Bombyx mori: one gene and its partners. Each later gene encodes a partner of the first gene's protein in a complex. Links are inferred from orthologs where the notes say so. Each region holds a gene or a part of one and is shown in the gene's direction. Other genes may lie near its edges.

Region 1 (5,827 bases):
GTACAAAACTTCGAATAACAATAACTCCTCTAGATTAATCCTACTAGCGTACTTATTAACATTAAATCGAAAGTTATCTAAAAGTTAATTAAGTCTAGATAATCAAATCATTCAATGTCAATTAAGTCATTTGTGCGAAATATAAACATGTCAGCTTTCCATTATAAACATAGTAGACAATTTGAATTAAATTTAATAAATTTGTTTCTTAATGATAGCAGTTCTTGCTTAAAGTTGATCGTGACAGATCATGACCTTGTATGAAAATATTACATCTATAAATACTACCTATGCTTCGTCATACAATAATTGTCATTTAAACTAGCATTGTAGAGATAATACACACACTAAAGTGAATACTAAATTATTCTTAGCATTCTTATAAACATTTAGAAATTTAAGAAACGATTAACCCACAATCATGTTCATAACATGTGACATTTTGTTCTGCACAAACGTTTTGTTACATGATTTGAAAAACAAAAAAAAAACAAAAAATGTTTAAAAAATGTAATGATGATTTAAAGTACTCTTAAATATTGATAGTTTGTACTTAATGACACTTATAGTAATCTTAGACATGATTACAATAGTTATACTTTTATTCTTTATCTAAATTATTTCTATTCTGACGTTTCTGATGCTTTAGCTTTGGTAATACTAGATGAAACAAACAGCAGATTGAAAGAAAATCATCTTAAAGTTAATTACATTCATTACAAACCATTAGTTTGCATTTTGTTACAAAAGAAACTGATGTTCGTTACATGCAAATGAATTATAAACATACACATGCAAACATAAAATGTAAATTTATCTTTTAATCCAAATTAAATGTACATTAATATTACATCTAAATAATAGAAAGGGTCTCGAAAATTTTTATTGCACTCAACAGCAGACGAGCACACAACCCGGCTCATGATAAGTGGTCACCAGTGCTTATAAACTTCAGCAGTGCCATAGGGGTTGCTGTCTATCACTTAAGTTTTAATAAATTATTAATATACTCAGTCACAAGCATATTGATTTCACATAATGAAAATGTAAGAAACATAATCATGTTTGGGCATTTTCATTTATATCTGCTCATACAGAAAACACAACTTAGCAAATATATTCCACAGTTAATCTAAATAATTGCAAATAATGCTTTTGAAGATCGTTGACTTTTGATCATTAATTAAAATCATCTTCTCGTAGAATTTACAAAAGCTCATTTACAAAAATTTATATCAGTATTTTCATATATTACTAACTTACTAATTACAACTATTCAAAACGTAATAGTATAACTATAAGAACTAAACAACCTATTTTAAAACAAAATTGGCATCAATTTAGTTCTTATGAACTATTTCAATTATTAATTTATAAATTATAAACATATTTAAAAAAAATTAAGATCCCTTGTGAGTTCACATTCCTTGCTGAATCAGTTTCTCTTCTGAAACGGAGAAACAAAGTATCTTAAGTATGTAACAAATATTGAAAAAATACGACCATGAAAAATTTAGTGTTAATGTAATCATACTTACAAATTAATATATTACATAACACGTTCTGGTTCAAATATAGTGCATCAATCTTTTCATGTTTCAGACATTTTAGTGCTCCTTATAATTTTTCCATAAAATTTTGTCATTATCAAACCTTTGTCTACAAAAATAAAAACATTATTTTATATTGGGTAGAAGGATGAACGTGGTCACAGGCCACTTGGTGTAACTTGGTTATCAAACACCAGGAAACAAAATGTGAATGCCATCATTTAACTTTGGATGTGAGATCAATTGTGCTGTATTTTATTTAAACAGGAAAGCATGACTATCAATCAGTCATGCTTTCCTGTTTATTCCATTCCAAAAAACTAGTTCGGGCCCACTTGACAATAAGCATATAATACGCTGAGTTGCAAAACATAAATACTTCCACCCACTCGAGACAATTTTATTATCTGAGGTGTGTGTGTGATAGTACGAGACTTAACACCGACTGTTTTGATCAAACTTAACATATATGATAGCTAGGCAGCAGAAATAGGAAGGACCATTAGTTGGTGCTAATTCATTTAATTATATTATGAATAATAATTCTGTTAGCAAATAATATACCGGGAAAATAGTGTAAACTCACCGTTATCAAGGCATCCGAAATAGCATTTCATTTTCGATCTTCGAGGCATGCTGATTTTTAATAATAAACTTTCTGTAAGAAACGAAAATAGTTACACAGGCTTACGAAACGCTAACGAAGAAAAAAGTATTGGAACCAAGTTATGTCTAAAGAGAATTCAAAACAGAGTTTCTCAATGTCTAATCGTCTAATATTCTCATAAAGCTAAAAGATGCTCTAAATTAATACTACAACGTAAAATAACTCACACCAAGACAAAAAAAAAACGATTTAAAAAATTAAATCGTTACGACATTTTGAAAACGTTTTTTTTTTTTTTTGAGATTGTTTTACGGCCCTGGAATTTTGAAAACTTCAAAGCAGTGTTTCCACTTACGTTTTTTTAAACACATTTTACCCTAGTTTCTTTTGAATTTATCCCTAAAATTTCCTAGACAACTTTCATAAATCCTTTATATAGAAAGTATAAATAAAATACAGAAAATAAACCACAGCATATTATTTAATGTAGGTATATATAATATAAACGCCCCCAGAAGATCATAGATATATAGGATTAGAATTTTCAAGGAAGTCGACGCATTGCTTTTATATTCTTTTGCTGCACGCAACCTAACACTGTTCGGTTCTAAAATTGAGCAATTGTTTGCTGGCAAAGTTGGGAACTTTCTATGAAGCAAGCCGTTCAGGGTTTCATTAGAAAGCCTGTTTCTTTTGTCAGTTTTTACATTTGAGAACACTGAATTATCTTTCCACCTCAGTCTTTGAAGAAGGAACTGCTAGCAAAAGTGAAATGACAATTACAAGGTTTTCGTAAATGAAATTACCATGATAATCTTTCATGGTACATGAAGTACCTGTATATTACAATACAAGTAAGTTCTGGTGACATCAACGAAAATAGGTAAATAAAAGTTTGGCGGATTATACTTATTGGGATTCTGGGGAATCCCTAAGAAAAAAGCAGTGGCTTAATCTATAATTTACTTTACTAGAGGGTTACTGTTGAATCAAACCTTCTTTATAGTTTTTATACACAACTCTGTTTTATTCTTTTACTTGTCAACTCGACTTAATGTCATTCTCTCTCCATAAAATAAAATGTTCATTGTTTTACTTTAATTATCGTTTATTTTAAAATTCACAACAGTTACTAGTATAGGCTTTGCTTTTTACCCCGAACTATCCTAAATCCTGGTATTTTTTAAATTGTCTTTATCATCCAAAATATCAGCTATTTTTCCCTAAAAAAGGGAGAATTCCCTAAAAGTGGAAGCACTGCTTCAAAGTACGCTAACCTTTTTTATTGAGTCAGAACTCGTACCTGCCATCTAGTGAGTTTATTAGATCATTAAGGCCAAAACGTTTCAAAAATGACCTCGCCGGTTCCTAAAGATGACGCTAGTTGAATGTTCTTTTCCTTTGTATGGGAGTTGCACCCCCCTGGTTATGCATACATATTACTAAAATACACAGTTTCAAAAGTTTCATAGAATAGGAATGGATGGAAAAATGTTAAATTTGTAAAAAAAGTATGTTTTTTTGATAAATCAAAATTTACCAAATTTTAATAATTATTGTGTTTTGCCTTTGAAGAAATGGCTGGAAATTTTTGGCAAAGCTCACATCATCAACAATGGATACTCGATAAGCAAGAGCTAAGGCGCGATCGCCAGTTTGATTTGAATATTTTATCAGAAGAAGAATACCAAAAAGTATTTAATTTTTTTGCTAGTATAATTCAAGTTTTAGGCGAACAACTTAAACTTCGTCAGCAAGTAATCGCAACTGCAACAGTTTACTTTAAAAGATTTTATGCAAGGAACTCTTTGAAGTGTATTGATCCACTTCTTTTGGCACCAACATGCGTATTTCTTGCATCTAAAGTTGAAGAATTTGGTGTTATATCCAATTCCAGATTAATAACAACCTGCCAGACAGTTATAAAAAATAAGTTTAGTTATGCTTATGGACAACAAGAGTTCCCGTACAGGACAAATCACATTCTGGAGTGTGAATTTTATTTACTAGAAAATTTAGATTGTTGTTTAATTGTATACCAACCATATAGACCATTACTACTTTTTGTCCAAGACATAGGACAAGATGATCAACTTCTGACATACGCTTGGAGAATAGTAAACGATTCCTTGAGAACAGATGTTAGTTTGTTGTACCCACCCTATCAGGTATGATTTATGTAATGCAAATAGTCACATTTCATTTTTTATTCATAAAACTTTTCATTGCCATTATATTTTGAATTACAGATTGCAATTGGTGCCTTACAAATAGCATGTGTGATGCTTGGTAAAGACAATCTCAAACCTTGGTTTGCTGAGCTAAATGTTGACATGGATAAAGTGAGAAATATACTTGAATATATATTAAAATTAAAAAAAATATGGTTATTGTGTGGTTGTATTACAAAACTTCTGAAACTACTCATTTAAAAATTCAAATTTACAGATCCAAGAAATTGTGAGAGCTATCATTAACCTTTATGAGATGTGGAAAAGTTATGATGAAAAAAAAGAAATACAAGGGCTATTGTCCAAGATGCCCAAACCAAAGCCAGCTCCCCAGAGATAGCAAGACATATTTTGTAGTATGGATTTGTATAATGGATATATAATTTTTAATTGTAGACATGAAAAATTTGTTTTTAATTCCCTAGGAAAAGAAATTACTATTTTTGATGAGGTCACTTATATTTCAAGTGATTTTTATGAATTTTTTCAACCATAAACAAATACAGTGTAGAGCACACTTTAGAGCATAAATTAAAAGAACAAGAACTAAGTTATTTAATTTTCCATCACAAGCCAAAGATACTCTCTTTATTGGTTGTTATGTGATTTAAGACTATTGTATCCTATTGTAGCCTTTAGACACAAAAGTAAATTATTCCTTTATTTCAAGTTTAATGTTTAAATAATGTCATTGTATTGCTATGCTGCCCAATAACATTGTTCATATAAGTAAACTGACAAAGATAAGTAAGATGACAAAAGCTAAAGAAAAAAGGCAATTCTAATGAATTTAGTCTTATCTGTCTGCATGTTTTTGAGCATTGATACTTCATTCATTAACTGTGTTGCATTTGTTCACATTTTACAACATTTGTCAACATTAACAATTTTGAACATTGAAAATGAGGTGGATCCTTTAAATAGATATATATGTATAAATTACTATTGGTTACACATTTCAGGTTAAAACTTATTAGCAATTCAGGGAATAATTATGTCATGTATAGTCAAAGTATGATTGGTGAAATTGTACATTGAGCACTTTATGCAGTGGCTGAATTCAATAGACGCGGGCACATAAAATACGAACAAACAAATAAATATTAATATTTATATATAAACTAGGGGTCATGCTCCACTATTACCTGCAGATATATGACATTTGACATAACACTGGGGAGTAGTTAATGGTTTGAAAAACATTGATTTCTTGTTACTGATGGTACGTTGGTGGTACTATAATAATAGACACCTGTGGAATTCTAACAATAACCATAAAGTTCCATTAACAATTAATGAAATATTATGATAAAATAAAAAATATTTTTACCAATTTTAACTATTATTGTTTATTATACTAAAAATTGTGCTATTCTTGTAAGCATGATTAATTATGTAAAATAAATAATAGGAATGCATCTTTAAAAATTAAGACTGTT
Region 2 (5,822 bases), on another chromosome or scaffold:
TTATTTAAAATCTTATTAATTACATAATATTTTTTAAAAAAGATATTAATAATACAATTTTTTAAAAACACTATATAAAAATAGATTGCCGCTGATGGCGGTGTCTACGACACAAGCCACCAGTGGTTAGGACTCCAGAGTGAGAAGCCTCCTCACAATGCGTGCAGTATCGAGGATAACTGCTTTCTGTATTTGGCCCTTAACCCAGCTGGATAACGAAAGTTTTTTAAGATGTTGATCGAAACTTTTCGCTATCAAGCCGTGTACCGATACAACTATTGGAACAATGATGGTTGAATCAACATGCCATATGGCGGTAGTCTCGTGGGCCAGGTCTAAATTTTTTATTAATTTGTCCTTTTCTGCCTTCACGAGGTTCTCGTCATGAGGAATGGTGACATCAACCAACACTGCTCGACGTGCAGATCGATCTATTATCACAATATCAGGTTTATTGGCAACAATATACCTATCCGTGATAATAGATCGGTCCCAGTAGAGCGTAACATGACCATTATCAAGAACTGGTTGAGGTTGGTATTGGTAATAAGGTACAGCAGAATCAAGAAAACCATATTTCAGAGCAAGTTGTTGATGGATAATCCTAGCCACTTGGTTATGTCTATGCAAGTACTCGCCGTTAGCAAACCGAGAACATCCAGAAACAATATGTCTAATAGACTCTCCCGGACGGTGGCATGCCCGACAAATGTCGACCGTCCCATCCTTTAATATAATATATTTCCGGTAGTTGTTCGTCATGATAACTTCGTCCATAATTGCAAAGATAAAACCTTCAGTTTCCCCAAAGAGGTTACTGAATCGTAACCAGGCCACGGAAGCTAATTGGTCTACATCAGGCCCTGTGAGAGCCCGGTAGAACCTACCGTGTAACTCCTTGCTCCTCCATACGGTTATGCGATCTAAAATACTCTTATTATTATTATTATTATTTGGTATCTAAACATACCTATCTCACACCATGTTTATTTAATGAAAAATTAAATGGAACTAATTATGAAAAGAAATTTAACTTGGATTAAAACTGAAGAATTTTTTTATAAATTATATAAAATATACAGATCAAATAAAATAATTCATAAAACTTACATCCCGAATTCCTGCCAAAGGTCTGCTAAATTAGATATTTTATTTCATTTTTCATTTTTTATTTGGGTTATACAATTACGTATGAAATGTAAATAAAACTACTTTTATTGTCTTTAGCGAATAATTGAATTTTTTCAAGTCTTAATAGTTGGCGCTACTGCAAAACATGCTGTCTGTGGCGGGTAGCCATCATACAACGCAAGATGATTGACGGATGCCTGAATCTCGCTTACGACATTTTCAAGATAAGGCAGAGCTCGAAACTTAGGCATCCGCCACAGAAAGCATGCTTTGCAGTAGGGCCAACTATTACTGTAGATATACGATAAAGGGAAGATCTTCCACCGAGCGGGTGATAATTGCTCTGTAGACCGACGGTCCGAATGTTGTTGTTCGGAACTTGTATATAAGCAAGCTGATCTTGAAAATGTCGTAAGCGAGATTCAGGCATCCGTCAATCATCTTGCGTTGTATGATGGCTACCCGCCACACTGTCAAACTGCAGTTTCGTGTATCCACTTAATCGCAATCGCGATGTGCCTTTTAATTTTTTTTATTTTTTATTGCTGAGATGTGTGGACGAGCTCACAGCCCACCTGGTGTTAAGTGGTTACTGGAGCCCATAGACATCTATAACGTAAATGCGCCACACACCTAAAATATTGTCCTCTGTATGAGAGCCTACTGCTATAATCCAATTGATCCAGCTCAATCCAGACACCAGAATCTTGCAAAGTTATAATACACTTAACAGATCTTAGTTACTCATTGATTTTCTTGTGTGATACATTTTATGAAACCATTTTAAATGATTTTATAGACACACCCCACCCCTAAGTTTGTTGCCAATCTTTCCTGTAACATCCTTAATAGTTAATTGTCTCCACGACTTGCGAAAGCTAAAGGAACAAAGCCCATAAAACATCTTTTTTATTTTATTTATAAAAGCCAAATTGTTTACATGAAATTTCTTTTTGGTTATAAAACATCAAAAATCTTTCGACAAAAATCAGTTCGGGATTTTTTTTTTCTAAAGGTTCATTGAACACTCAGTACATTCTCAGAATTTTAGCGAAAAATTACTTCACTTCATTTTGTCCACACTTACGGTGTTGTCATAAACTCACCTCTAAATTGAAGTTCATTTAACTTTCACAACACCTTCGACCTTGGTGGCAAAAATTGGAATATATGAGCTATGTTCCCTTTGCTTATCCATAAGGCCAATCAAACAAAAAAAGCATACTAAAGCATAGATTAAACACTTATTTTTTAGAAAGCATAGACAAAGCTCATAATAATTCATACATTTCATACTGTAGTGTGTAAAGTTGTTTTAAAATAAATTTCTTCAATTTAACACAATATTTAAGAGTATGTAAATCTTTTTTTGTAAATATAGGCATATTCCGTTTTTATTAAGTGTTTGCTAGAATCGTACGTACGGATTCCCGGTTCACAATGTCAGAGACAGCTCAAGTTAGCTCTTTACCTCTGCCTCCAATGCAATATATAAATTTTTACACGGATGAAAATGTTAGAAGAAATAGAGCTCCTCTACCACCTCGACCTATTCATGATTCTTATTCAATGTTTGGTAATTCTTTTAACGCTGATGATGCTATTATACGTTCGTTAGAAAGCCAGGTAAGTCCTAAAACAACTAGTTTACAAACACAAATGTTTATGTAAATAATTCGTTGTAAAAAATTCCTTCAGGGATTTCGAAGATTGTATCCTATGCATTTTGAACGAAGAAGAGAATTGAAGAAACTTAACCATTCACTGCTGGCAAATTTTCTGGATTTGTTGGATTTGCTTGTTCATTGTCCAGATTCTCCAAAGAGAGCAGAAAAAGTAGAAGACCTAAGTTTGTTATTTATTCATATACATCATCTTCTAAATGAATTTAGGCCACACCAAGCAAGAGAAACATTGAGAGTAATGATGGAATTGCAGAAAAGACAGAGGGTTGAAACTGCAGCAAGGTACTATTAATAGCGTTAATTTGTCATATGTTGGTGTTTCTACTATATCTATACTGGACACCAAGGAACCATTCTAGAAAATAAAGATAGATCTCAGATCACAAATGACAAAATAAAAAAGATGCCAACATAAATATTTAAGTTATGTTTTTGCCACACACATGATATAACCATTAAGTGTGTGACTTATCCTTTATTATTTTAGGCTTTAACATTATAATATGATCTTTAATTGGGTGGTAATGTGAAAGTCTGATTTAAATTTCACTGGTTGGATTTTCACTGGTTGGAAACATTAGGTGCCACTAGTGATTAGACATTTTTATCTGTTACCACAGTACCTTCATGATTGAGATTCCCAGACATTTTGCCCATCAATGTTATGTTAATTTATTTATAATTAGTAGAACCTGAATAAATTTATTGTGTTTAATCTTACCATAGGCTGTTAAACACAAAGTCATATTAAGTTCTCCCAATGTTTGATATTGAAGCAGAATAATGAAAATCAGATTTGTAATGAGTTTAATTTTTTTTTATTTTTATTGCTTAGGTGGGTGGATGAGCTCACAGCCCACCTGGTGTTAAGTGGTTACTGGAGCCCATAGACATCTACAAAGCAAATGCGCCACACACCCTGAGTTATAGTTCTAAGGTGTCTCAGTATAGTCACAACGGCTTCCCCACCCTTCAGACCGAAACGCATTACTGCTTCACGGCAGAAATAGGCGGGGTGGTGGTACCCACCCGTGCGGACTCACAAGAGGTCCTACCACCACCAGTAAAAAACCTTAAACTTGTCTCAATAAAAAAATTTTAGTATTCATAATGTCATATCATCTTTTTCAAACCAAAATCTGCCCTCTGCACTTTTTAGAGATTTCCAAATTTGAACTGTTTTGAGTAATATACAAAAATATTTTAATATAAAAAAAAAGAAATTAGCAGATATTGTTTACTGATACTACGAGGGCGGCACTGAAAATTTCGGGAATTAACGAAGTGACGAAGTTACTATTTAAAAATGTATTTATTGCTTATCGAAGTATTCTCCGCGAAATTTGACACATTTTTCCATACGATGGAACCAATCATTGAAGCAACCATTCCATTCGGAAGTTGGGGTCTCCAAAATGGCCGTTTTGTAGGCGTCTACAGCTTCTTCAGGTGATGAAAATCTCTGTCCACGCAATTTATTCTTTATTTTAGGGAAAGTATAGAAATCATTAGGGCTTAGGTCGGGGCTGTACGGCGGATGGTCTAATAATTCTATGTTTTCTTGCTCTAAAAACTCTTTTGTTCTGTGCGCGGTGTGAGAACTCGCATTGTCGTGATGGAGGATGATGCGGCGGTTGCAGTTCTCTTTACGGAGTTCAGAAACGACCTGTGGCAAACAAATGCTAGCATACCATTCTGCATTAACCGTTCTTTGTCCCTCAAGAGGAATAGTCGTAACATGGCCGGTTTTGGAGACAAACGTGGCCACCATTTTTTTTGCAACACTCCGTGAACGAACAATTTTTGTTGGCTTTAACTCATTTTCGAACACCCAAACTCGTGACTGGTTTTTTGTTTCGGGTTCGTACGCGTATATCCAGGATTCGTCACCTGATACAATGTTGTATACAGCATTTGAGGATCCTGCGTGGAATCTTTCGAGAGTTCTGACGCACCAAGTAACGCGAGCCGCTTTTTGCTCTTCACAGAGCGAATGCGGTATCCATCGGGAAAACAACTTTTTTACACCTAATTGTTCATGCAAGATTATTTGTATTTGACTCATGCCAATGTCTAAAGTTGCCTGAATTTCGCGGTATGTCACATGTCGATCTTCCTCAATCAGCTTACGCACAGCATCAACGTTTTCTTGGGTGACTGCAGTTTTTGGACGACCTTGAAGGGAATCATCACTGAGCTTGACACGTCCACGTTGAAACTCAGCAAACCAGCGATAAATTGTGGTTTTGGATGGGGCTTCATCACCAAATACAGAAATCATCCGGTCAACACACTGTTTTTGTGTTAAACCACTTCGAAAGTCATAATAAATCATCGCTCTTGAATTTTCTCGAGTCAATTCCATTTTCTCAACGACTAAACAAGTTTGACAAAACCTCGTGACAAGACCGAGAATCTTTTTTAAAATAAATAAATGGTATTCGATTTTTAAAACCAAGGAGTTTTCAATTAAAAAGATTTTAATATGACAGGAACAGTAGAAATATTCCATTCCCGATACTTTTAGTGCAGCCTAGTATATTATAACACAAGATTGAACTCGAAAATTATTTGTTGTTTATCGTCGTGTTTTTGTGGATGGACAGCTGTTACCTTACAAGTTAAATTTCCATTCGGACCATTGTTGCTTGACTTTGGTTTAATGTGTGAATTCTCTGAAGCAAAAAATAGACAAGATGCTGGTATCCATGGAACCTAATCCAGTTATAAGAGCTAATAAAGTCTGTTCTTTCAGATTCAAGAAACACTTAGACAAGGTACAGGATATTTTACAGAATGCTCTCCAAAGCTTACCAGATCAAAATGAATTGGAATCAAATTTCAAAGTGCCAAATGAATTGTTGGACCAAATGGAAAATAATACTTGCAATATTCAAAAGGCTGATCCCTGCTTTGAATTAGATAGAATTATGTGCAATGTAGTTGATAATATGAGATAGTATTTATGTGAATTATGGCTGACTGCTAAAATCCATTACTCAATAA
Region 3 (5,707 bases), on another chromosome or scaffold:
ACTGTTATGCTTTAGAAAGAAATAGAATAGATTCTTAACATTTTGTCTGAGTTTTAGTGTCATTATATACAGAAATGGAATGAAAACAAAATTAACATATATTCATAAACATTATTTTACAAAAATTATAATACCTAAGTTTATGTTAAAAACTATTTTATTTAATAAAATTGCAAATGCTTATTTTTCTACTCTATTTTGGACAAATAAATAAAAACAATACAAGTTAACCAACTAATTGTAAAGGTCCACCACTAAAAAACAAAATAAAAAGCAGTAATTCAACACAACAAAAAATTTGCTACGCAATCAATCACTACGTTAATGAGTGTTGCTATGGAAACCAATCCCTTAAACTGGGTTCCCAGAATGCGTTGTTATTGACAACAGCCAGGGACCATGCATCTATCGATAGCTTTATTTATGTTTGCAATCAGAGGGTGGAAAATCAATACCGCGATTACCTGGGGATGGGGTAGCGTTTGTGCAATTACTAAAGGACCTAAGTACCTGGTATGTACAAGGTACATTTAATAACATAAAATATCAGTTACTTACGATTGCCGCAGCAGCTTTCAGCAATAGTTACAATCACATCATTACTCACAATGTTTCCAAACATATTCGTTAAAACATCAATTGCGTTTACTATATTTTCATCACTGTTCCCTTGGTCCTCCATTGTGACTTCTAAAGTGTAACAACTCACACTGGACTGGACATTAAATAATATAAAATGAAATTATTTACCTTGATAAATATGAACACGTTTATTTAATAACAAAGACTAGTAAACAAATTTGTTTAAGCATAAAGATGAAATCCATAAACCTGCTGACCATTGTCCGACTATTGCGAAGTGAATTTATTTTGACACCACACCACAGATAAATTTAGACATATTGACACTGGCAACTGTCAATTAACAGTATTGTAGTAGTAGTAGTAGTTATATTTTTCCAACTATGAAGGCAAAAGTATCATACCATACACCTTAATCGGTTATAATTTTTTTATGAAAAATGATAATATGAAGTGAAATGAAATGAAGATGATTAATTTGTAACATTAATCAATTGGCACGAAATTAAATGAAATAAGATGAGATGATATGGGATCCACTGAAAAAATCTCAGTAAATGACCACCATTTTTCTGAGATTATATTATTTCATGCTATATCATCTCATTTCATTTCATCCCGGTTGATTAATGTTACAAATCAATCGTCTTCATTTCATTTCATTTCACTCCATATTATCATTTTTCATAAAAATAAGAATATAAATTAAAATAAGACATGACTTAAAGGTCTTAGTTACCCGGACATAAATTACCATAAATAATTTGGCGGGAACGCGAGGAGTGAAGTTGTGTGATTTGTTTTTTTTGTCTATTTAGTGTTTCTTCAGGTTTAAATGTGTATTAACAGTGGCTTATTAATTGTTTAATATCTGTGAAAGCGCACAAATGTGGGAAAATGAAACAAAGCCGCTGAACGTAACTTCTCGGGATCCTCCAAAAAGTCCACTTCAAAAGTCTTAGTGAATGACCACCAGTTTACTGAGATTTGAAATATAATCCCATATCATTTCATCTCGTTTCATTTCACTTCGTTTTCATTGTATTTCATTTCGTTTTCATCTCATTTCATTTCTATAATTTTTCATATTAAACAAAAGTTTTCATTAAATTAAAATAAGACTTGACTTATAAGTCTTAGTTACCAGGTCGTAAAATCCCTTAAAAATATGCATATGGCTACTTTAATGATCACAGATGAAACTTAAACTTTTTGGCGGGAACGCGAGGAGTGAAGTTGTGTGATTTGTTTTATTTTGTCTATTTAGTGTTTCTTCAAGTTTAAATGTGTAATAACGGTGGTTTATTAACTGTTTAATATCTGTGAAAGTGCACAAATGTGGGAAAATGAAACAAAGCCGCTGGACGCAACTTCTCGGGATCCTCCAAAAAGTTCACTGAAAAAATCTTAGTAAATGACCACCATTTTACTAAGATTATATTCATCCTATATCATCTCATTTCATTTAATTTCATCCCAGTTGATTAATCATTTTCATTTCATTTCCCTCCATATTATCATTTTTCATAAAAATAAGAATATAAATTAAAATAAGACATGACTTAAAGGTCTTAGTTACCAGGTCATAAAATCACTTAAAAAAAAGCAGATGAAACCATAGATTATACACTTAATTTATTTGAGAATGAAACTTAATTTAATTATTTAAGCTAGTTTTAGTGTTTTAATTTAAAGATTTAGGCTAGTATAGATATAATTTGCACTCATGAACTAGATATAACGGCTTTTTCACTAATTCACGGAGAATAATGTTATAACGTAGTGATTACTTGCTCAGTGAATAACGTCTTGTATATAACTTGTGAGGGAAGGTATTCAAAATGATTTAAAGTGTAATAAAATATAAATCCTAATTAGTCAGGGATCCAAACTGCATTTCCCGACCGTAACAATGGGAGACAACTTTCAAAATAAGACCATGGCGGCTGTGATGATGGACTACGATTTCAAAATCAAGACTCAAAATGAACGTTCCAAAGTGGAAGACTTGTTCGACTATGAGGGCTGTAAAGTAGGTAGAGGTACATATGGCCATGTATATAAAGCCAGAAGGAAGGATGGCTCCGATACCAAAGATTATGCTTTGAAACAAATTGAAGGAACTGGACTTTCTATGTCAGCATGTAGGGAAATTGCTGTAAGTATAAATACAACATAATTATTTCATTTAAGTAATTTGTTTTTAATTTTAAATAAAAATTTTAAATTTTAAATAATTTATATCTGTATAAATGTGAATTTATTACCATAATAATATGTTCTATGGGGAGTGCTATGAGGAACTGTTTGAAATGATTCCATCATCTCGTTTTTACCATCGCACCGCCGACCACCGAAATAGAGTTTGTCCACACTACCTTGAGCCACTCAGTTCATCCACAGTGTGTTTCCATACATATTTTTGCCATGTACCATACGGCTTTGAAATGAGCTCCCCTTCATGGTGTTTCCGAAGCGCTATGACATGCCCTTCTTCAAACGAGGGCTGTGGAGAGTACTTAACAGTAGGCAGGGGCTTGGCTAAGCCCCTGGCTGAAGTCCATGGATGACGGTAACCACTCACCATCACCATGTAAAAAATTTGCATATTTTGATTCTTGTTTCTATTATTATTTCAAATAATATGTTCATGGGATATTACACCTATTTTGATTGTGTTGTGTTGTATAATTATTGTGTACTGTAAACAAACATTGCATTATCAGCTGTTTTTCTACTTCATATTCGGTCTACAATATAGTAGTGTGGTTTAGATCATAATAAAAAAGTTCGTGTAACAATTTATTTTCTAGCTATTAAGAGAGTTGAAACATCCTAATGTCATAAATCTTATTAGAGTGTTTCTTTCACATACTGACCGAAAAGTCTGGCTGCTATTTGACTATGCAGAACATGATTTGTGGCATATAATCAAATTTCATAGAGCAGCTAAAGCTAATAAAAAATCAGTTATGGTGCCAAAAGGAATGGTGAAGAGCCTCCTCTATCAGATATTGGATGGGATACATTATTTACATTCAAACTGGGTTTTGCATCGAGATCTGGTGAGTGTGATGTATATAGTAATATTTATAATGATGAATCGTTCACATACTATGAGTTCATGTTGTATTGAAATTGTAATTTATACTAAATTAGATAACATAATATATAAAAGTATAATAAATATTATATTAAATAAATTACTATAATTGATAGAAATTCTACTGTTGGCCTGGAAGAGATTAGAAAGACTAGGACGGCAGTCTTACTAATCTCTTTTTGTGTTGAATGATGTGCATTTGTTGTTTTTTTATTTATTTATTACTAGCTGACCCGGCAGACTTTGTAGTGCCTCAATCGATAAATAAAAGACCCAAACTTTTGCATAAAATAAACTTAAAACAAACAGAAGGAATCCGTCCGACGGGGGACATATCAAAGGAAAAACAAAATTGTTATTTTTATTTAATTCCGAACATTTTCATATTTATCTACCTTTTAAACCTCTGGACTTCCACAAATAATTCAAGACCAAAATTAAGCCGTTCTCGAGTTTTAGCGAGACTAATGAACAGCAATTATTTTTATATATATAGATTATTTTGGTGTACCATAAATCAAACTTAATGAATCGATAAATATTATTTTTGTTCAATATCAATATATGTTATTTACAATTAATACTCCAGAAACCAGCCAACATATTAGTAATGGGTGAAGGACCGGAGCGTGGCCGAGTTAAAATAGCTGACATGGGATTTGCAAGATTATTCAATGCACCTTTGAAACCACTTGCTGACTTAGATCCAGTAGTAGTCACATTTTGGTACAGAGCTCCTGAACTGTTGCTTGGTGCCAGACATTACACTAAGGCCATAGGTATATATTTTATTACTCTTACAATAATTCACCTACAGCCACATAAAATTAAGTACTTACCTTTTACTTACTTAAGTAATTTTTACTTAATTGACGTCTACACTTGGCAGGTAAAACACCTTCTCTTCAGCATGGAATTAACAACTTGGTAGCACTTTATTAAATTCATCATTATTTAAATAAATCCCAAAAAGCTTAGAAAATAAAAACTATTATACTATTTTCATTTTTGGATTGTTACTTAACATAGCTAAAATTCATCTGAAATTTCAGTAAACCCGGTCGGTAATTGTGCATTCTGTGAACTACATACCATATCAGTAGTTCATTGTAAACATAAAATATAATGTAATCGAAGAAGAATATAGAAAGATTCCCACCCCATGACACTTGTTCAAAAATATCAGGATATGGGACTGCAGTAGGCCAAGGCGGCACTCAATTATTTTGAGCTCATGAAGTATAGACTCATTGGTGCAAAATATTATATGTGTATTGTAATGTTAAAATGTTGTTCTTTCACGTCAATACAAACCAATGGATTGACATGATTTTTTTTAAAGTGAAAGTATTCATACTGATACTTTTCCTGGACGAAATGTGTAGAGCCACGGTTTAAAACCAAGTCAAAAGAGATGTAAAAAAAAAAGTAATTTAAGAAAATCTCATTTATTTGCAGATATTTGGGCCATAGGATGTATATTCGCAGAACTATTAACATCTGAACCTATTTTCCATTGTCGCCAAGAAGACATTAAAACAAGCAATCCATATCATCATGATCAACTAGATAGAATATTTAATGTTATGGGATTTCCACTTGAAAAAGATTGGGAAGATATAAGGAAAATGCCAGAACATGCAACACTAGTTAAGGATTTCAAGAGATCAAAGTAAATTGAAAAACAAATATTTTGAGGATGCATTGGTCTAAAATGAAATTAAATTTAATATGTTCATATTCATTACAGCTACCAGAACTGCTCACTCAGCAAATATATGGACAGGCATAAGATTAAGCCAGATAGTAAAGCTTTTAGTTTATTACAAAGACTTTTACTGATGGATCCTAACAAAAGAATCACTTCAGAACAGGCTATGCAGGATCCATACTTTGCTGAAGACCCACTGCCTACTCAAGTATGATATTATAATGTTTTTGAATTCTTAATGATCTGAATGGATAGATGAGCAACCTGAAGTCAGGAATATTAGACCCTATAAATGCACAATTTTAATCCCA
Region 4 (5,626 bases), on another chromosome or scaffold:
TTTATTTTTTTAAATAAAAGAACACTTATTGCGGCATAACTATAATAGTTAGACATATCCTGTCGCGACACTTATTATAAATAATAATGTGTTCTACAAGGTGTAGTACATTATTTAATTCTATCATCAATCGTTTTCGCAGGGCACGCGATGTAAAGAATATTTTAGGTAATTTTTTTACACCTTGGGTTACATTATTGGAGTTTTAGTTAGTATTCCTAGATTATAGCCTATGTCACTCCGGAATAGAGTAGCTTCCAAACAGTGAAAGAATTATTCAAATCGGTTCAGTAGTTTCGGAGCCTATTCAATACAAACAAACACACAAATCTTTCCTCTTTATAATATTAGTATAGACTAGCGACCCGCCCTCGCTTCGCTTCGGAAACATTAAAACACACATGAAACCAAAAAAATAAAATCAGGGACAATGTCGGCTTCTAATGGAAAAAGAATTTTTCAAATCGGTCCAGTAGTTTCGGAGCCTATTCGAAACAAACAAACAAATCTTTCCTCTTTATAATATTAGTATAGAAGTATTAAGTATAAAAGTATAGATTAATTCCTTTAACGGACGGTAGTAGGGGCACTGTTTAAATCCTATCTATTTTTTCTCGATAGAGATACGAATACTTTTTCGATAGTCATTCGTGCTTGCCCTTCAGAGTGTAAAGCTTTAATGAGGATTGAAAATTTTATTAATTATAGCTAAATCCAATACTTAGCATGATTGTTTGCACTTGATTCTAAATGAAAAGTTAAGCTTTGTGATGCTCTCTAACAAAACTAATTGTGAATTGTTAAAACTATTTCATTGTGTGATTTTTTAAAAGTTTTAGTAAATAGTCATTACTTGTTGCTATGTTTATAACTATATTTATGCATAAAATTTGATAATAAATTGAGAATAGATCTATAATTTTAAGGTATTTGATAATAATTTTGGTACTATAGTGTGAAGCTTTGAAGTTTTCAAACAATTTATCTAAATTGTTTTAAAACATTTTTAATAACAATCACGAGGTTTTGTGTGTGTGTGTTTTTTTTTCTGTGCACAATTTAAAACCTCTGTCTTTGTAAATGTGGCCGCAAACGGGGGTTGCTAGCTGATAAAGATGGAAACCTAGATCCAAAGTAGAGTGAGAGAGTTAATGCGTAACATCGTTTGTCAGACAAGGATGGCGGTAGACAAACTTACCCTATTTAAAAATTAAAAACTAATGCGCATGCGTCGAGTGCTAGTTTATTCAACCAACTGCGCTCACTTTCTTACTTTACAAACGATAATTTAGTTAGGTACTCAAAAAAAAGTGGGAATTTTTATTTGCTATATTATTATGCTAATGAATTATATTCATATTGCTGTTATTAGTAAAGTTTTGTACTTAATTTATAAAAAAATTAGATGCTATGTTGGGTATGTACATACAGTACTCAAAAATCTAATTTAGCAATTTTCATTGTTGACTTCTAAGCAATTTAAATTCGATAACGGCGGATTTCTATCATAAAAATGTGATACCGCAAATGCTTAGTTATTTTTAAAGAGTGCAGGTTAGGCTGAAAGCTATCTAGTCTTTTATTGTTAATTCGTACGAGAATAGCGCGAAAGCGGTGATGGAAGTTTTTTTTCCTACCTATTCGGTAGCCTACACACACTGCGACGCAACTTCTTGATGAATTTTAGTTGTTACAAAAATGACGCGAGGATTTGATATTTACTTATTGCGCGACAGGAGGTGTTTGTTGATTGTAAAAAAAATGGCTTACACGAAACGAAAAGAAAAACGGAAAACTTTTACAAATTAGTAAAGTTCTGCCAATTTTACTATAGCACAGCTGCCTTAGATTGAATTAGACTAATAGTTGTAGTAGTCATTAAACAATAACATGTTTGAACACACAACCTCGTTATATCCGTAATGTGAATCCAGCTTATTGTTAATGTTGTTTCATTGAATAACTAAAATTTAAAAATAATCGTTTAAGGTCTGAAATGAAAGAGGTTCATTAATGGTTTTTTATTATACTTAAATACTCAATAATTGTGATGTTTTTCTAGTCGGTAATATTATGGTTACCTATTGTGTACACTGCTTACATTAAATAAAGGAAATTTTGAAATTCATTTCATTGCCTATAATTAAAGTTTTTTAATTTTTTTTATATGTAGATGGGTGGAAGAGCTCATAGTCCACCTGGTGTTAAGTGATACCGGAGCCCATAGATATCTATAACGTAAATACCGTCACCCACCTTGAGATATGAGTTCTAAGGTATACTTACAACGGCTGCCCCACCCTTCAAACCGAAACGTCAAGTGGTCCTGTTATTAGCAACATTACTATTTAGCTTATAATGTATATAACGGAGAAATGGTTTTCTAAATTTTAATACTGATGAGAATGATTGCAGTTCTAAATGTATTTTTTTATTGCCCTTGTAGGCAGACGAGCATACGGCCCACCTGATGGTAAGTGGTTACCATCGCCCATGGACTTCAGCAATGCCAGGGACAGCCAAGTCGCTGCCTACCGTTAAGTACTTTCCGCAAGCCTCGTTTGAAGAAGAATACGTCATAGCGCTCGGAAAACACCGTGGAGCGGAGCTCATTCCAAAGCCGTATGGTACGTGGCAAAAAAGATCTCTGGCTTAAAATGGCGTTACTATTCCAAATTAGGTACTGTTTTGCTGCACGCCAAAGTTAAACGATCGTAATATAATTGTTTCCTTACAGAACTTCAAGTTATTTGGATTTTAGATTAATGTCTCAAATGAATCAACTTTATTTCATTTCGCTCCATATGATCATTTTTCATGAAAGAGAATAGAATGTACATACAAAAGACTAGGATGTATGGTGTGTGATATCTTCGCCTTTCCACCTGGAAATATTGGAAATATTACTTAAAAACGTCATAACGTTCAACTTCAAATAACTTCATTCAAAAGGTAGTTTTACAAATTGATACTGTAGGTAGCTTAAAACCACCTTCCATAGAAAATATCCATATAAGGATTAAATTTTAACAGTGGTTAGTAGGATAAATATCTGAATTGAATAATGGCTGATCGCTTAACTCAGCTTCAAGATACCATAAACCAAGTACGTATGACAAAAATGAACATTTCGTTTTAATTGACATTAATACATTTCACATACGTTGTATTTATTTATTTGTAGCAAGCTGAGAATTTTTGTAACAGCATCGGAATTCTACAGCAGTTCTCGTTGCCTAGCAAGTTCCCAGGCTTCGAACGCGGTGGTTCTCAGACTCCTCAACAACCGCAGAGTCAAGAGGATTATGCGGTTTTATTCGCGGCTCTAATTTCTCGTTGTGCTAAGGACATTGACACGCTCATCGAGTCTTTGCCCAGTGAAGAGAGTTCAACTGAGCTGCAAGTGCAAAGCCTTCGGCGACTTGAGGCCGAGAACAAGGAGGCTGCTGAGCAACTTGAAGAGGTAAGGGCTGTCAACTCTCCGTGCCCAATACACGTGCAATTTATCTCAAAGGACACTAGCTTTCTTTTTTATCATAAATTGGGAATTATCATGTAACTAAACCATTAAAATAATGATTTTAAAGAAGTAATTATGCCATGCAGTTTGCTTTTGTATTGCCATTTGAATGTAAAATCAAATATTCCAAGAAAGTATTTGTATTACAGACATTGTATTTTGTCTATAGTCAACTTTTGTAATGTAAACAAGCACCAATATTTAAACATAAATTAGTACCTACTTAAGATAAAATTGACAGTAATAGCGATTTGGTTAAAGTTGTTTCCTTAACTTCATTTTGAGATGGCACACTGGAATTGTATCAGCGAATATTACTTTATTCAATTTTCAAAACCCATAGGGTGTTTACAGATTAATCTCATGTTTTAGATTGCCATGACTACAAAAACTTATAGTATTTGAAATATTGGAAGTAATCATATCGACGCTTGAAAGGCAAACGTGACTAAGCGACAATGCGTGAACTTCACAGTAGACTAATTTCAAGATGAAATACCTGAAAAAATTCTATTTTAACGAAACTAGCTGTAGGATTGAAATGATTTTAATAGACCTAGAAATATATTTTTTTTGGCATTGAATATGGTTATTGCCTATCATGTATAAAGCAGTTATTGTCGCTTAGTCACGTTTGCCTTTCAAGCGTCGATATGAAAATAATTACACATGACTTACTCTCTTTTCATTAGCGTTAATAATAATGTCAGACAATATTTAATAATTCTACAGGTAGTCCGTCAAGGAGAGATTCTTCTAGAGAAGATTCAGGGTGCTCTGAGTGATATTGCTCAGTGCCAGTTGGACATGCAGAATCCGGCTCTGATCCTCAACAAGGATGTGAAACCACAGTTATAGGGATGGGGTCTGGGGTTCTACCAACGGTAGTTTCCTCTACAAAAGGATACGTTAAAACAAGAATACACGGAAGTATTTTAGTATTATATGAATTTTAAAATTTTGTGTTTGAAATCTTAATGCTTAATGACGAAGATTTTTTTTTGTTGTTTGCAAATTTGTTACAGGGCTTTCATGCCGGTGAAAACTAAATTGTCTGAATGTCATATTTTTGAAACTATAATAAGAAAAACATTGGTATGACATATATCATTTTAAGTAATCATTTGTTATAATTGAATAGTTAAGTATACATGACTTGTTTATTCATTATTTTCTATTATTACGTAAGGCATACTTTAAGTCTGAAAGGGTAGGTACCGCCACTCTGCCTATACATACTGTAAAGCCGTTGTTTTCCAGTTTTGAAGCACAGGTTAGTTGTTGATGATGATTTTGAGATGAGTGGCGGCAATGACTGGGATCTCTGGGCTATGTTAATCTCTTAATATTAGATGAACTCGTTCATCTATATACATAAAATAAAATGAACACAAGGAAAAAGTAAAGGTGATTGTATTCAATGATGAACATGAGTTTTAATTAAATTAAAAAATATTTATGTTTTATGTTTAATTAATTTAATTAAGTTATTATGTTTAATTAAAGGTTTAATTTTTCTTTTTGTTGTACGCCCTGTATATGCTGGAATGGACTCGAATCTAAATATTAATATACTTTAGAGATTGGAAATAGAAAACTATAATCTTGAAATGAAAAAAAATCTATATGATTGAAAATAAATGTTGATAGCTAAGAGTGTTTTATTAAATCAAATGTTTTATTTGTATAAATTTCAATACTGATTCAATGGTAAAGAATAGTTTAATTTAGTAGAAGTAGTGTTCCTTCAGGTTTATATATGTATTAATGGTAGCTTATTTACATTTTAGCATCTCTGAAAGTGCACATGTGTGGGAAATTAGAACAAAGTTCCTATATGTGGCTTAACGGCTTCCTCCAAAAAGCGTCAGTAAATTCCCATCCTGTTACTGGGACGTTATTTCATTTTATCTCATCTCGTTTTACTTCTTTCCAATTAATTTCATATTAATACATTAAAATTTCAAATAAATGATCTTCATTTCATTCTACTACTATCATTGTAGCTTTTAGATAACTAATGGAACAAGCAAGTTTATCGAGTAAGTTGTACATTCGATTTATAAAATTCTTATTGGCTGGATGACTTGACAAAGTATGGTAAAA

The links. The genes of interacting proteins can lie anywhere in the genome.
Region 2: cyclin-C (region 1) and mediator of RNA polymerase II transcription subunit 7 share a complex: the UniProt entries of both Caenorhabditis elegans proteins name them as parts of the mediator complex. The link is inferred for Bombyx mori from reciprocal best matches to the Caenorhabditis elegans genes cic-1 and let-49.
Region 3: cyclin-C (region 1) and cdk8 share a complex: the UniProt entries of both Caenorhabditis elegans proteins name them as parts of the mediator complex. The link is inferred for Bombyx mori from reciprocal best matches to the Caenorhabditis elegans genes cic-1 and cdk-8.
Region 4: cyclin-C (region 1) and mediator of RNA polymerase II transcription subunit 21 share a complex: the UniProt entries of both Caenorhabditis elegans proteins name them as parts of the mediator complex. The link is inferred for Bombyx mori from reciprocal best matches to the Caenorhabditis elegans genes cic-1 and mdt-21.

Annotation. Positions count from the first base shown.
Region 1 is NC_085121.1:11,204,268-11,210,094, forward strand, and holds the start of cyclin-C, read left to right. Parts: upstream 1-2,446; 5' UTR 2,447-3,734; coding exon 3,735-4,325; intron 4,326-4,406; coding exon 4,407-4,499; intron 4,500-4,605; coding exon 4,606-4,728; 3' UTR 4,729-5,827. UniProt on the Caenorhabditis elegans protein: Component of the Mediator complex, a coactivator involved in regulated gene transcription of nearly all RNA polymerase II-dependent genes.
Region 2 is NC_085119.1:10,079,908-10,085,729, forward strand, and holds the start of mediator of RNA polymerase II transcription subunit 7, read left to right. Parts: upstream 1-2,371; 5' UTR 2,372-2,571; coding exon 2,572-2,757; intron 2,758-2,829; coding exon 2,830-3,098; intron 3,099-5,571; coding exon 5,572-5,776; 3' UTR 5,777-5,822. UniProt on the Caenorhabditis elegans protein: Component of the Mediator complex, a coactivator involved in the regulated transcription of nearly all RNA polymerase II-dependent genes.
Region 3 is NC_085129.1:10,512,070-10,517,776, forward strand, and holds the start of cdk8 (cyclin dependent kinase 8), read left to right. Parts: upstream 1-2,256; 5' UTR 2,257-2,494; coding exon 2,495-2,740; intron 2,741-3,395; coding exon 3,396-3,647; intron 3,648-4,274; coding exon 4,275-4,464; intron 4,465-5,143; coding exon 5,144-5,357; intron 5,358-5,435; coding exon 5,436-5,604; intron 5,605-5,707. Other genes in the region: uncharacterized protein LOC101736423, read right to left, coding at 559-682. UniProt on the Caenorhabditis elegans protein: Component of the Mediator complex, a coactivator involved in regulated gene transcription of nearly all RNA polymerase II-dependent genes.
Region 4 is NC_085122.1:11,557,071-11,562,696, reverse strand, and holds mediator of RNA polymerase II transcription subunit 21, read left to right. Parts: upstream 1-2,175; 5' UTR 2,176-3,064; coding exon 3,065-3,106; intron 3,107-3,184; coding exon 3,185-3,463; intron 3,464-4,252; coding exon 4,253-4,378; 3' UTR 4,379-5,174; downstream 5,175-5,626. UniProt on the Caenorhabditis elegans protein: Component of the Mediator complex, a coactivator involved in the regulated transcription of nearly all RNA polymerase II-dependent genes.